Styela clava: one gene and its partner. The protein of the gene in region 1 purifies or fractionates together with the protein of each later gene. This does not show direct contact. Links are inferred from orthologs where the notes say so. Each region holds a gene or a part of one and is shown in the gene's direction. Other genes may lie near its edges.

Region 1 (7,218 bases):
TCCTAACAGACTATATCGGGATATACCACACGCTAAATTAATTTTGGTTGTATGTGATCCTGTGAAGAGGAGCTTCTCGGATTATGCTCACGAGGTGAAAAATCTTCTTGCAGTAGATAACATTAAAGATTTTAGCGTGTAAGGTCCAGCACAATAAACAGCATTTCTGCAAACGTAACCGAGTGGTATAAACTATTGTTAAGCTCCGTTTCGATTTAATATACTTTCTTCGTTCTATTGAACGCATTGTTTTGAGATACACAGTACAATGATGTCACATCATAATGATTCATTACTCGTTGGTTTTCCCGGCCTGTCTATACTACATTTGTGATGCCCCTAAATTTTGCAAGATAGTAAGTTTTAGCATTTAGCATCAGTAGCTACTCGAAAATGAGTAGGCCGTCAAAAAATTTTCGCGTCTTGGTGTAAACTTGTAAAGGGTCGTTTAAATGGTCCGATATCTGAAATCCTAGTGCGGCAATCTATCACAGAATGTAATGTTATGGATATACCCCAACCTTCATCTTTTTCTTAAACTTATTCCTAAAAATTCCCTCATTTTATTTAAACGTTACAACGGCTGAAAAGCCTGAAATATCATTTTTTCATTCTTCACAGAGGGCGAGATACGAGATATCCTCGAAAAACCGGGACGTGGCAGAATTCGAAACGTTTGACTCGTATTTGGATTTTTATCTCGACAGAGTGAACAGATCCACATCTCTAAACACCTCAACCACACTCTACAATCATATGTCTAATTATTATAAAGATCACGCTGCTACGTTGTTAACAACAGGATTTTATTCAGTTTTTCTTCCTCGGTGGACTGAACTGTTCAACTCGTCACGTCTCATGGTTATCAGTGGGGAAGATATTTTGAACAATCCCGGAGTGCAGGTAGACCTTTTTAAACACAATTTGCCGATTATAATGTTCAAAAGGATTTTGGGACTTTCCAACATTGAAAGCTGTCGCGCGGTTAAAATTGAAAAAAAAACGCCCAGTGAGTCAATGTAGCCTAGATATCAAGTATCGGCAGAGCTGCAAAGCTCGTGAAAGGGGACAAGAAACCAACCAGTCGCGGCCCGGATTGACCTTAGCTTTTCTTTGTGACATTACGTGTATAGCGCGAATACCGTAAATAGTTATTCGCGCGGCTAGCTCACAAATGAAGCAACATCCGATTTCTTCATAACAGTGAATAAAATAAAAGTTTGTAAAGGTCCAACCTGCGCTTTATGCTATATTCAGATGATGTAACACAGTAACTCTTTAACTCCATGATTAACTTACGCTCGTGAAAGGAAAAGCACGAAGACGTGTTTCAGTTGCATTTGCATGCGGAATTAATGTATGTAGCGAAAAACTCATGAATTAGTTAACATTTCGTTGCAGATGGAAAGAATACAAGATTTTCTTGGAATACCGAAACTACTTCGTGAAGGTGACTTTGTCAAAAATCCATCAAATGGATTTTTCTGTGTCCGACCTTGGTGGAAGAACTACAACTTTACCGCTGAAACTAACTCTGTTGCCGGATGGGAAGAAAATCTTAGTTGTCTGTCGAAAACCAAAGGTAGAACCCGTCACAAAGACGGTGGGATGGATGCCAACATAAAACATGTAGCCAGGCTAAAGGCGCTTTTCGAGCCTTTCAATGAAGAACTGTACCAGATGACCGGTATTGACTATAACATGATGTAAACATCAGAAGATATTTCTACCAATTGCGGATATTTTGTTTGCCCGTCATATCTAATCCACAACGCTAACCCATACTGTCAAATATGCTTATTCTTATGTGCACTGTATTAGATGTATTTATGAGATTAGTTAACGTACCTCAACAAACACTTAAAATTGTGTATAGCAGTTCAAAACGTTACATTAAATTGATGAAATGCATTAGTCAAAATGCATTAGAAATTAAATGCTTTGCGACATTGGTTTGTTTCCAGTCTTTTTCGGTAAAAGCACGGATTGAATATTTGGTATCACACCTCCTTGGGATATTGTTACTCCTCCAAGTAGCTTATTTAATTCTTCGTCGTTTCTAATGGCAAGCTGTAAGTGACGAGGTATTATTCGGCTCTTTTTATTATCTCTGGCAGCATTTCCCGCTAATTCAAGTACTTCAGCACTGAGGTACTCTAATACGGCTGCGAGGTATACTGGTGCACCTGCTCCGACACGCTCAGCATAATTGCCTTTTCTTAGAAGCCGATGTACTCGTCCCACAGGAAATTGCAGCCCAGCTCGAGATGATCTTGTTTTAGATTTAGTCTTATTCTTGCTGCCCTTGCCTCTTCCAGACATGTTTACAGAAGTTATCCGACAATGCTAAATTAAGATCACCAAACGGACGACCCGACCGACTGTACCGAGAAATGCAAATGGAGCAAATAATTGACGGCGACGAATGTGATAATTATTATTAGTTTTAACGGTGACTGATTTTTGTGAAGGATGCAACAGAGCATGAAATATTGATAGAAACATGCTCGTATTCTTGTTCACTTACAAATAGAAAGCAGGAAGATTTTTCAGAAAAATACAAATAGAATTCAAACTTATAGTTATACTAGTTGGGAAAAATCAAGGACCTTGTATTGAACGTTGATATTTTATTGGTAAAATGATATTTAAAATATGAACGCGCGAAGTGCAATACACAACATATTTATAAAGTTTTTGTAAATTACTAATAGCCTATAATGTATATATATATGATAATAAAATTCATTTATCAAATGTTTAGTTTCGTAAATTTTGACATGAGAACTTTAATAAATTTTTTAAAAACCGGTATTTTAAACTTGACATTGTCAATCCACTTTTGTAAATCGATCCTACTGAAATCCTCATTGACTGTCACCACTATATATATATACTAGAAATGTATCGGTATCGGCAATATGGGTCAAATTTTGGGTATCGGTATCGACTAAATGTAGACCTGTATTTCCGATATATTTATCTTTTTAATCTGATCCAGGAAGTTTTAAAAAATAAGTTAGAATACTGATGTTGAATTTTTTTTTCTTGGATAAATCGTGAACTATGAGCCATGCACGTCCCTACCCCCGCGAGTAGAAACGGAAATCGGATTCTGACCTATTTTTAGCTATTTATTGAACAAACTAGCTCAACTAATTTGGATATTTTTGCTGCCAAATTTTTATATTGATATTTTTAATACTATCTAGTAATTATGAAGAAATATATCAATTAAATATTAGTTGATTTTCCAATGTGTAAAATACAAAATATGTCGTTATATTGGCACAAAATCCTGTAACTCAATGTATCAGTTTAATAGGATGAGTAAACATTCGTTTATTATTAACAACCCGCAGTAGCCAACACTATGAGTTTTTAAATTGAACACCGAGATTACTAGTGTAGGTGCACAATGCATCTGATTCAATTAACGCATCGGGATCCCAAACATCAATTTCTTATTATGTGATATATCTCTTTTTCAATCTGAAGTGCACTATGAAAGGGGCTATTGTTTTAATCCATCTGCCCTGCACATTTAATTACACACAATAATTACATAGTATCGGCTTTTTTGGATATCGGTATCTGCGTTTTTAGTTGGTATCGGTATCAGCGACAAAAGTGGTATCGGTACATCTCTACTGTGGACACTTCTTGTGTATCCATTCTTGTGTATGTTATATCCAGTGTTGGTTGTAAGACTCCTTCCTTTCAAGCAAGTCATGGGTCGTCCGTATCCATAAATAATTCGATTGCCGAAGCCGAGTCACTACACTCCCGAGTCCCAAGTCAGATATCAACATACGAAGAGGACAAATGTACATACTGATTGCTGAATTGTTTAGTAGATTATCTGAAAGAATACATTACTAGAGATAACTTTTGAAAATGACAAGACGGTAAAGGATAACGAGAGGAAACTGATTAAGAAAACTGGCCAACTTTATCGGAGCTGTTATATAAAGTCAACAACACATTGATCTTTGATATACTATTTTGATTTTTAAAGATTTAGCAAGAGCGCAACCGAGTTGTTCAATTATTGTGATCAAATCGATGTAGTTTTGGACTCGTGTTTTGTGTTCAAGAGGTGTATAAATCTCAGTTGTGGTTTTTAATGAAAATTGCGGGATGGCATTCCTGTTCCCTATGACGCGTGCAATATGCCAGAAAACGAACCAACACGTCACTTCTGTATTATGGAGTCACTGGACGGCATTTAGTGCATAGCCTATGTAATTTAACGTCGGTTGCGTTGTTCTGTTTCAAGTAACGAGTTTGGGAATGGATATTGATGGAGACCAGCCTGGGGATAGGTGCGTTAACATGATTTTCTATTTTGTATGATCGAAATAATCCTAACATAGTACCGAACTTGACTACTGGACTGTGGCGAGGGGATTTCAATTAGGTGTTTTCAACCTTCCATCATTGTTACCGTATTCCACATCACTTTTTTGTTTGGCGTCATTTCAAAAAGCTACCGTACCGTACAGCCGTATGATGTTTACTTCGCTACCGGTAGACCCTTTGAAATCCGCCTCAAGAGTTAGACTATATACCTGCAATAAATACGGTATCATGTTATAGTGTTAACTATTTTCATACCGTACATCTGCAGATCTGTACATGCATCTGCATGAGCTACTATTCAGATGAGGGGTTGTGGTTCACCATATTCGATAGTCTTATACGGTACTTGATCTGGTTTAATATCCCATGGGATAAGCATGAAAAAAATTGTACCTGCTGACTGAGTGACTGGTAGGGTGGTGCAGCCAGTCTGCGGACGATTTCATTCAAACCGCTATGAAAAATAAAAACTAATATTTCTAACCCGTTAATTTTTTCACCGTATGTGCATTGGCATTTATTCTACACGGTAATCCTCGAATTAACTTTCTACGACTAGGGATTAAAGCTATAGTCTACAAACCATCAAAGTACGACACTCGGAAGACGTGTTTGCGACCGAACGACCAGTGTGCGACCGCGGATTTCAAGCCTTGAACATCGCTTATGCTGCGGTGAGACTAGCACATACGCAGCCATGCGTGAAAAAATTGGGCTTCTAATTGCACTTCTGACCGTCATATATTTTAAGAACACGGTTATTTCGAACACAACTCGTCAAATTATAAACAAAGCACCGCATCACAGCATTCAAACAGGCAAAAACACGGTGATCGCAAATTGGTCGACAAAGATATTATCGACGTATTGGAAATGGGCACCCCCCTATTCCCCCTCCTTTAAATGTTGAAACGCGGATGGTTAAAAGAACCACAACTCTACCCACCTGCCAAGTTTCATCTTTCTATCTCCTATATTTGTATAGATTTTCAAGCTTTTTTGAGGGGACAATGGGTAGTTGGCGACATGAAAAAATGGTCCGTTTTTTTTCTTCGGGCGGGTTTTCAGTCGTAACTTTTTTGTTTGTGGCCGCATTTTAGTGTAATTTCGCAGAGCTACGAGGGATAAGTGGACGAAAATGCGTGAGAAATATTTTCGCGGTTCGTTAATTTTTTCAGTATTAAATTAATCGATGAAGTTGATGGCCGCGAAGTGAGTGAGCCAACCTAAATCCTGTTCCATGTTATTGATGAAAGATCAATACATTGATTGATTTTTCTCAGTCTGTCAGTGTTTTTTTTAATGATTGATTACCAATTATAATATTACAATCTAGCAATTCATATCAGATTTTATATGTTTTCAGGAACTCTGAAGTAACATCAAATACAGAGCCATCCAACTCTAACGGTATCGAAGCAAATCAAAATTGCTCTGTGTCGACAGCAGCAAAAATGTCTTCAAACAGCAACCAAACAAATTTGAAGCAACAAGCTATAAAACGAAAAATAGAGCAATATTTTCATAGGCTGACTCAAGGATGCAAAAGAGAAAATTGTACTAATCCAAATTGTGCATCAAATCCTTCGTGGAAAAAGTTATCAGAAAATGATGCCGCACTGAAGGTAATGTAAATTGCATAGATTAATTGCTCAAAAATACAGGTATAAATTGTGATGTACTAGATGAGTATAATATGTAGTTGGTCTTTCAGAAACCTAATTGATATCATATGCTACTCTTAGAATAAGATAGGATTTACATCTTTATCCTGGGGGAGATGGAAGCCGATAAGATGGCGAACCACGACATCTCGACTAGTTACCAGTCTATGCTGGGTATGGGATAGATCAGAGATGTCCAGCCTGCGGCCGCATGCAGCCCACGGCAAGAATTCGTGCAGCCCACTTGAAGTTTTTATGTGAATACGGACATATAAGACATAAAAATTTCCTGGTACGATATCAAATCTTACTAGATTTTAAGGCTATAATTTCACGGGCCTCCGCCGTAAAAAAAGCGGTATTAAATTGATTGAAAGATTGATCATTGGCAATCAATGTATCTGCATATTGCATAAAAGTTGAGTTGAATTTCATGGTGCATGGTCTTTGTGTGAATCTTGTGTTCAGAAATCCGCAAAATTGTTGCGCAATACAGGCGTATGATTCAGCGACGCTCAAATTCTAACGTAAATCAGAAATGGGTTGCTATTTAAGTTTGCTAAAAACGTTTGTGGCCCGCATCGAATTTCCCCATTTGAAAGTGGCCCGCAACACTAAAAAGGTTGGACGTGCCTGGGATAGATGATTCAGATTGATGAAAGAAGCTGTGACCAATTGATGTCATGAACCACCCTACCGCGCCAAGGAGTCCAGCAATCTTTTTGCACATAATCATTCTCCACAGGATTCAAACCTGTGAACCCATACAAGGTAATCAGAGGAGGTGTGTTGGAAATTGTATTGTTAACTCTTGGGCCACACCACCAAGCACTTAATAGTCAACTTTGTTAGCTGTCGATACATTTGTATTAATTAGACTATTATTTTTATCTTATTCTAATACCTTACTATCTTTGGTCGTTTGAGGATGGACAATAAGTTTAAAATATGATTGTTCTCATGTCATTGACTCATGATATGTTCTTTTGAAAGGCAATCAAATTGGTTCGTGAAAAGGCTGAAATTTGTTTATTACAAAGTGAAGAAATCAATTCATCACAGAGTTCTTCTTCTTCCATATCTGCTGGGCATAACAAATCTGAAAATGGAAGTACCGGGAATGTGTCGCTATCAGATAATATGCCTAGTGCTATGGACACCAATAATAAAACACCTTCATCCGATGTGGAAA
Region 2 (8,029 bases), on another chromosome or scaffold:
CTACCGGTACGGTCAGACGCAAAGCGACTATAACCGACTACCGGTATTTGGTAAGACGGTACGGTACCGGCATCGCGAGTGTCCAGACAACTGAGTAGTTAAGCAGCATTCTCCAATTAAATTACCTTATACACGTAAAAACAAATTTTCCGAATTTTCGTATTCAATTCTATATTCTCTTATCATTATTATAAATATATTACTTCTTGTTGAACTTGTAGCATGGAGAATTTATAGAACATTTTCATATTGAATATTGCTCAAGAAAATCAGTAGTGAGTTTGAAACCCAGGGAACACATTTGTGCGCGTAGGATTATGCCTGACAACGTTGGTCCCAAGCAGAAGCAAATTTTCTAAAAATAAAAACGCGTGACAACGATGGGCCACGAGGCGGACCATCGTTGTCAACCTTTTTATTTTCTTTTTATTCAATTTTTTTTTTAATTTTTTTTTTTTTTAATTTTTTTTTTTTTTTTTCGTTTCTATTTATTTATTTTGTTTTAATTTTAATTTTTTTTTTAATTTTTTTTTTAATTATTTTTATGTTTTTTTACAAAAAAATTTTTATTATCGGTTTTTTATTTTATTTTTTATTTTTATTTTCAATTTTACGCGTGACAACGATGGGCCACCATACTTGTCACACTGGCTCCGCTCAATCGCAATGTTGTCACTCCGATTATTTTCGAAGATAAAACCTTTCGAAAAATCCGTAAAGTTTCTGTCAATTCTCACGTAGTAAAAGTTATTTCAGTACAATAAAAATACATAAATAAATACAAAAAGTGATCGAATATACTTTAATTATCTTATATATCATCACAAACCGGGGAAAAGTCGCGTCCTCAGCTTTGTTTAATGTTAACAAGAAAATTTTCGACGTCAATTTAAAAGTAAGGGATAAAAAGGCAAATCCCGCTCACAATTGCCCGTGTTTCGATTTTAGTGACGAAATGTTTTTAAAGGTCAAGCAAACATAACTTGTGCCGTAGGCACATTTTCGATGCCTAGAAAAGCGTTTTTAGACTGTCGCGGGCCTCAACAAAACTTATATTGTTTACAGTTTTATTTTTAGTATTTTATATTGCCACTTTTCAACTTTTCGACATAGTAAATGCTTTGATCTTTGCCCGCAAATTATGCTGGGCCTTGCACGAAATCCATAACGTGAAAAGATACGTCCAGCGGTGAAAATTGTTTATAACAACTTTAGATCTAGTTAATTTTTTAGCGATAATAATTAATTGTTGTAATGAAACACAGTTTGCCACTTTCACTTCTCTCGCAAGTGCCAACAATAACACTATTGAAAGATTTTGACAATGAGAAAATCATGTTAAATTGTACAAAAATGAATTAGTTGTGTAAAACCGTGGCGTGTGATCGGCGGTGCGTTTGAAGACGGAGTATTACCCATGCGGGCGCGCATGTTTCACAAAATTGTGAGGTGCTCGGAAGGCGATCTGGTCCAAATTATTGTAAGAAAACATTTATAATATCGGTAACTATTACCGTTTAATTGCGCTTGACTATCGCACTTTTCGGAAATGATAATTTTGTAAGGCGGAAACAACATGTATTACATTTTTTTGCGAAATTATTGGGGGGGCGACCGCCCCTGGTTTTAGGGGATATTTCCACATTGAGGGGGTGGTGTATATTTTGTTGGTGATAAAACATGTATTTGACTGGAGCATTTGCACCGGCATATATACGCCACTTTGAATATGTAAGTTAAGAAGACCATCTCAATTTTAGGGGGGCAATAGGGAAATCAGTGGTAAAGTGAACAGCTGTTTATTCTTCTTCTATTCAATAACGCCAAAGCATTGGTTCATCCTGACCAAATAACTGTATGTAGCTTCAAGATAAAACAAAGTTCTAGATTTGATAACATTTATTTTAGTTCACCACAACAATGAGTAAGACTTCTACAAAGTTTCAAACTTTTTCATAAATAAATGATTGCAGCAGGTTTAAATACACATAATATGATCATTTGTATAACTTTATTGTCTGCTGCAAAGAGGTTCAGGATTTGAAAAATTGGGAATTGTTTTTATTTTGCTTGGTTGAAAGATGTTTATATATAGAATGCACAAAATCAGATCTACACAAAATCCGTACGTCTGCTATTTGCTTATTGAGTGGTGAATTTTGTTGCATTTCAAATAATTGTTTACATCAGACAAATTGGTAAGCCAAAATTAAGCTTATATATTTACTTGGTCTGACGTAATACCTAGTCGAATAATATTCATATGAAAGCCGTTGACTATTTAAATAGCATTTAAAAACTTTAACATTGGCATATGATTTTCAAACATAGAGACAATAACATATGGGAACAGAAATACAACATTGTAGAAGAAGAAAAAAATTAAAAAGGTCGGGTGCTATTCCTGAAAAGCAACACCTAATAAAGTTGTAGAATGGTGGCAAAGCAGCAATCTGAATCCCAGGCTCCAACGATCTTTTATCAAACAAGGTTCCTATATTCGTTCAGTCTCGTGATGTAGTCTTATACCATGATATAGTTAATTGCACAAAGCTGTTTATTTAATCAAAAGTCCATTCTACAGACAGGGTTATCTTGTACCATTTGTAAATTGATTTTATGGCCGACCAAATCCCTGATATTATCTATACCATATTTTATCATTGTCGGACGTTCTAATGACAAACCCCATGCGATAACATTAACATCTTCCGGAAGGCCCATTGGTAATAACATTTCGGGTCGGAAAATTCCAGAATTTCCAACTTCTACCCATTTTTTGAGTCCTTCGTGGTAGCTGAATATTTCCATTGATGGTTCAGTGTATGGGTTGTAAGCTGGCTTGAAACGTAACTTTGTAATACCAAGTTTATGAAAGAACGCTTGTAGCACTCCCATAAGATCTCCAAGAGTTACGCTGTAATCTGCAACTACACCTTCCACTTGGTGGAACTCGGCGAGATGAGTTGCATCCAAAGATTCGTTTCGAAACACTCTATCTATTGAGAAGTATTTACTGGGTTTAAATCCTTCTTTAGCAAGTTTATACAGCATCCTGGCGCTCACAGCTGTAGTGTGAGTACGAAGTAAATTTTTCTTCGCTTCCGAGTACTTCCAGTCGTAACAATACCCTTGCGAACCGAAACCACCTTCTGAGTGAACTCTTTTAACTTTTTCTGCATAGTCAGCTGGAAAAGTGTCACACTCCGCAGGGTCGGAAATGAAAAAAGTGTCATGAGCGTCTCTAGCTGGATGTTGCTGAGGTTGGAACAAGGCGTCAAAATTCCAGAATGAGCTTTCTACATAATTATTCGTTGGCATTTCTGTGAACCCCATTTCAAGAAATATTTGTCGATAAACAGATCGTACTTTCAAAAGGGGATGCAAGTGTCCTGCTGAAGGTTTGATACCCATCGCAGAGTAGTTGTAATCTTTAAAAGTTGTTGTTTTCCATGAGCCATCTTGTATCATTTGAGCTGTGAGATCCGTTGCTGCCTTCTCAATTTTCGTTGTGAACTTTTCACCTTTCGTAACATCAAAACTCTTTATAGTAACTTCCTCCACTAATTTACGTTTTTTCAACTCCGCCCTATCTTTGTCAGGAATGGGAGATCCTTGTTTTATTCTTGATAAATTATCTCTAACAATATCAGTTGGGTTTACGCCATCAGCGACAAAAATCTTCGGTGCGCCACCCGATTTGTCCACTTTGATCCATCTATTAGACATCGCCTTGCTGAAGCCAATTTTATCATTTTTATCTTTCACCAGTTCAGATTGCGCAATACCATCTGCTGGAACTCTTTTGAAAATATTAAACTCATAACTTCCACTTGATTCGAGCTTTTTACCCTCGGTTGAGAGAACCCAATTTTTGTCTGTTTTCTGTGAGGCGTCTATCACGCCTTCATGAACTTGTAAGCTTTTTATTAAACCGACAATTTTTTGATGTTCCAAATTTTTGGTTTTTGCGTATGAAATTGAGTTGACACGTTCATTCAATTCCAAGAATTGCAATAACTCAGTTGCCATATCTACTTCTTTCTCAGTCATATTTACTGAATAGTGCTGAAATGAATTACGATAAGTTGTAATGCACTAGCGACTAGCCTAGTAAAAAAAAAGACATTTCATTAAACCAATGGCAGAATGGCACAGCTCCAGCAATAATTTGCTTTCTATAGGCTCTGCATAAACTTTCAATAGACTTATAGAGTTATGCTCGAAGAGTCAAATATATGGACACGAAAAAATAATACTGTAATAGCCTTCTAGCGAAAAATACAATTTTCAATCACTGAAAATTGCAAAGCAATTGGTGATCCAGTTGGTAAAAAAAAGTCATTTTTTCATAACGATAAGAAGAAAAATACCGAGAAAAACAACAACAAAAAATAAAACGATGCATGGATCCACTTGTGTGTCCAATAAATACTACCGCCTGCCTGCATGATGTAACACTTCGAAATTATGAAGTGGACACCCTACTCTCCAACGTGGATAAACATTTGAATGTACCAAATTTATCTCCGCGAGTGGGCGCAAGTGACCATTGTGCAAGGAGTCGTATCCGGTTGCTTGATTGTTCATTTTTCGTGAATGTTGCAACGGAATTGTGCATCGAAGGTTATAACACGAAACTTTGCTTATTTTGATGAGTTTTAAAAAAAATTGGCAGAAGATGTCGTTTTACCACTTTTTTATACTTGTGTTCAAAGTTGAATTTTACAATATTTAGAAAGTTTTGGTCTAATTATACATAAAATCCAATCTTGCGAGAGGCAAAGAATAGCTCAAAAATTAACAAATATATCTATTTAAAATATAGTTAGTCATTTTAAGCAGGCTTGTTTATATATTTACGTTAATATAAAAATTTAACCCGATATCACCATCCGCAATTTGTTGAGGGTTTCACTAGGTGGCGACATTTTTGCTTAGTAATACTGATAACATTACTCGGCATAATCTGAGTTGAGCGTTTTGTTGTAGTCTGCTGTTCTGCGCTTGAATACCATTGATAATTTCTCTTGTACAACGCGATTTTGGGAAATAAATAATGGCGTCCGAAGGTAAACTAGAGAAAATGGAAGTTGATTACTCAACAACGGTGGACAGGGTAATTCCAGAATGCCAACAAGTTGCAGCGGTGAGAACTGTTTTGCATTGTAGCAGAATTTAGGATTTTTTCGTTTTGTAATAGATTCCTGTGTTGCTATTTCATTATCCAGGTCTACTTTATTATAATTTACGAGCCATGTTCACAACCACTGTATTTCGTGCCAATCATCTTTTGTTTATTAATTATCACCAGGTAAGACGATTGCCTTACCGATATCAAACGGTAAAATCTTATCTAATCTTAAACCATTAGTGTTTTTGTGTTTCCTGATTCTATTCAGACCCCTTGGACAGTGGTTCTTAATGTATGGGTCGCGACCCAAACATGGGTCGCGGAAGGTTTAAGAATGGGTCGCGACAAGGTCGTCAATCTAAGAGGAGAAGGACGAACTTTCAGCTTTCCCAATGTTTCAATTTAGCTTCTAAACTCTGGTATTTAAAAATAATGAAATATAAAATTTCATTCACGGGGAGAACTGTCTTGAGCTCATTGTTACATCACAATTCTGATATGCCAGTCACGTGTATTATTTTTATGGTATCGGTAACCATGCACGTCGCTTGTCGTTGTGTTAACCGCGTGGAATGTCGTCGTAGTGGATTAAAATAACCAAAAATGGGTGTCTTTTTGGTAATGTAAATTGTAATAGACGACGCAATGAAAAAGCTCGCTTCTCGACATTGGATTATTCAATATCTAGAGAAAATGTGACTTCTCGAGGCACCATTTACTGCGAACGAAGCAGTGTGTGCACATTTGATGAGGAAAAAAGTTGTATATTGCGAGAGATACCGAAGGCCAGCTAGGATGTCATGTTTGCGACAGACAGCGGACACCTTTTCTGCAACAATTCGCGACAAGGCACTTGTGCGAGCGAGGATATTTGGCACTGACGGTTATCAAAACTAAGCTCGCAATTGCCTCGATACCCGTGACAACTTGCGTATTGCGTTAAGTAAAATAGAGCTGTGTATTGAAGATATAATGAAAAGGAAATTTCAGTTTCATCAATCTCACTGAGTCAATGGACTGTTTCTAATAAATAGTTGTCTGTATTTGAGTCAAACTGTACTAACATTAAAAACACATTTTGCGTTATTTAGGATTGGGTCGCGAGTATTCATAAAACTCAGATTTGGGTCGCGCTCGAAAAAGTTTAAGAACCACTGCCTTGGAACAATTCTTTCAGTAGTCGCATGTTTCTTTTGTATTATCTAGTTTCGGCCGTATTATTTGAAAAATGAGGTTTAGTAATTTTTGCCTTTTTACTTTAGCGATAGATATTTATTTAGACTACTATTCTGTATTTCAGGATGGAAAACTCAATGATGCCGTGGATAAATTATTGGCACTAGAAAAACAGACAAGATTGGTGAGTAGGTTAACGTTTGCCTAAACCTGTAAACCAACTTTTCTTCGTTCTTATATGACTGGAAAGAAATTATATATTGAAATCCGTCGATAATTCTGAATGCTCTTGAACTTTCCTTCACAGCTGTAATGTTTATGCAAATATGTCTGTATGTGTCATGATATTTATGTCTCCCCAGACCTCACAAAGTTCATTTTTCAAACTTGAAAATTATTCTGGGAAGTTGACTAAGATTTTGCAGCTCTTTTTTTCTGACTCTTTTCCATTTTGATCCTGAGGCAATTTTTTTGAGGCGTTCCAAAAATGATCATATACACAACAAATAGTTTTGTAATTTCGACTTTTTTTTAAGGCTGGTGATATGATCTCGACCGGGAAACTTCTTGTGACCATTGTGAAACTCTGCTTTGAAGCAAAAGAATGGGACATGCTCAACGATAATATTATTGTCATCACGAAGAAAAGAAGCCAACTCAAACAAGTATGTTTAGATGTTTTTGATAAATTTTTCTCTAGACAAGGCTTTGACCAGCACACATTTATGTATAAAGAATGAAAAAGACAAAATTCTTTTATAAGGGTAGGTTCAGCTCACTCAAGTTAATATACTTATATATTTATTTATATGCTCAAATGATTGCTGTTAAAAAAATATCAAATTGAAAGAAAAAATGACAATATCTTGTGATGATCGTCCGAAATAACTTCCTCCCTCACTTTCTATAATATCTACTATAGTTATGCACAAGTATTTGTACAGTTTTGATTAATTTATATTATATGTACATAAATAAGTATTATAGATATAGTAATAATGATAATAAACAACTAATAAATATAAATACTATAGCAAATACAAGGCTAAATTTCTCTCCAAGAAGAACAAAATTCTTCCAGGATTTCCCAGTTGGGCAACGTATGTTTCTAAACCTTAACTTTTTAAGTCTAGTTGAACATTTTTGAATCATAAATGACTTTTATTACTTATCGATCTTAAGGTTAGTAATATGTTGATAGGTATTTGTCTGTCTGTATGTCTGTTTGTCTGTATGTTAGATGCACGCGATATCTCACGAAAGCGAGGTTGAATCTGCTCCAAATTTTGCATGTGCATTCATCATAGCTCGGATCAGAAGCCTATTAATTTTGGATGGATTATGTCTTATAATTAGCGAGTTATTAAATAATTAGTGATGGGACACACAGTGTCACTATGGAGTAAGACCACTGTTTTTGGGGAACCCCTAACCTTCGATTGATAAGTCTTCGGTTTCTAACCGATATTCTAGTTTTCCTTCTTATTCAAGTTCTAATAAATAGTAATTCATTGCATATGTCTATGTATTTCATTATGTAAACATGTCGCCCCTTGTTAAAATTTACATTCGTTTTTCAGGCAGTTGCAAAGATGGTTCAAGAATGCTATAAATATGTTGATCAAACACCTGATATGGAAACTAAATTAAAATTGATTGATACATTGAGAACAGTAACTGAAGGAAAGGTAACAGATTTTGAATACTTTTTTATTACTA

The links. Proteins that work in one complex are often made in the same cells at the same time.
Region 2: the proteins of ubiquitin-protein ligase E3A-like (region 1) and 26S proteasome non-ATPase regulatory subunit 12-like purify together in Homo sapiens (affinity purification with mass spectrometry; 4 studies listed by BioGRID and IntAct, with this or other methods). This does not show direct contact. The link is inferred for Styela clava from reciprocal best matches to the Homo sapiens genes UBE3A and PSMD12.

What each region holds. Positions count from the first base shown.
Region 1 is NC_135263.1:13,868,347-13,875,564, forward strand, and holds the start of ubiquitin-protein ligase E3A-like, read left to right. Parts: upstream 1-4,169; 5' UTR 4,170-4,293; coding exon 4,294-4,325; intron 4,326-4,762; exon of another isoform or gene 4,763-5,028; coding exon of another isoform or gene 5,029-5,036; intron 5,037-5,728; coding exon 5,729-5,987; intron 5,988-7,019; coding exon 7,020-7,218. Other genes in the region: heparan sulfate glucosamine 3-O-sulfotransferase 6-like, read left to right, coding at 1-94, 622-903, 1,402-1,710; histone H2A-like, read right to left, coding at 1,933-2,322. UniProt on the Homo sapiens protein: E3 ubiquitin-protein ligase which accepts ubiquitin from an E2 ubiquitin-conjugating enzyme in the form of a thioester and transfers it to its substrates.
Region 2 is NC_135250.1:4,207,255-4,215,283, forward strand, and holds the start of 26S proteasome non-ATPase regulatory subunit 12-like, read left to right. Parts: upstream 1-4,949; 5' UTR 4,950-5,059; coding exon 5,060-5,149; intron 5,150-6,434; coding exon 6,435-6,494; intron 6,495-6,846; coding exon 6,847-6,975; intron 6,976-7,890; coding exon 7,891-7,998; intron 7,999-8,029. Other genes in the region: phenylalanine--tRNA ligase alpha subunit-like, read right to left, coding at 2,566-4,053.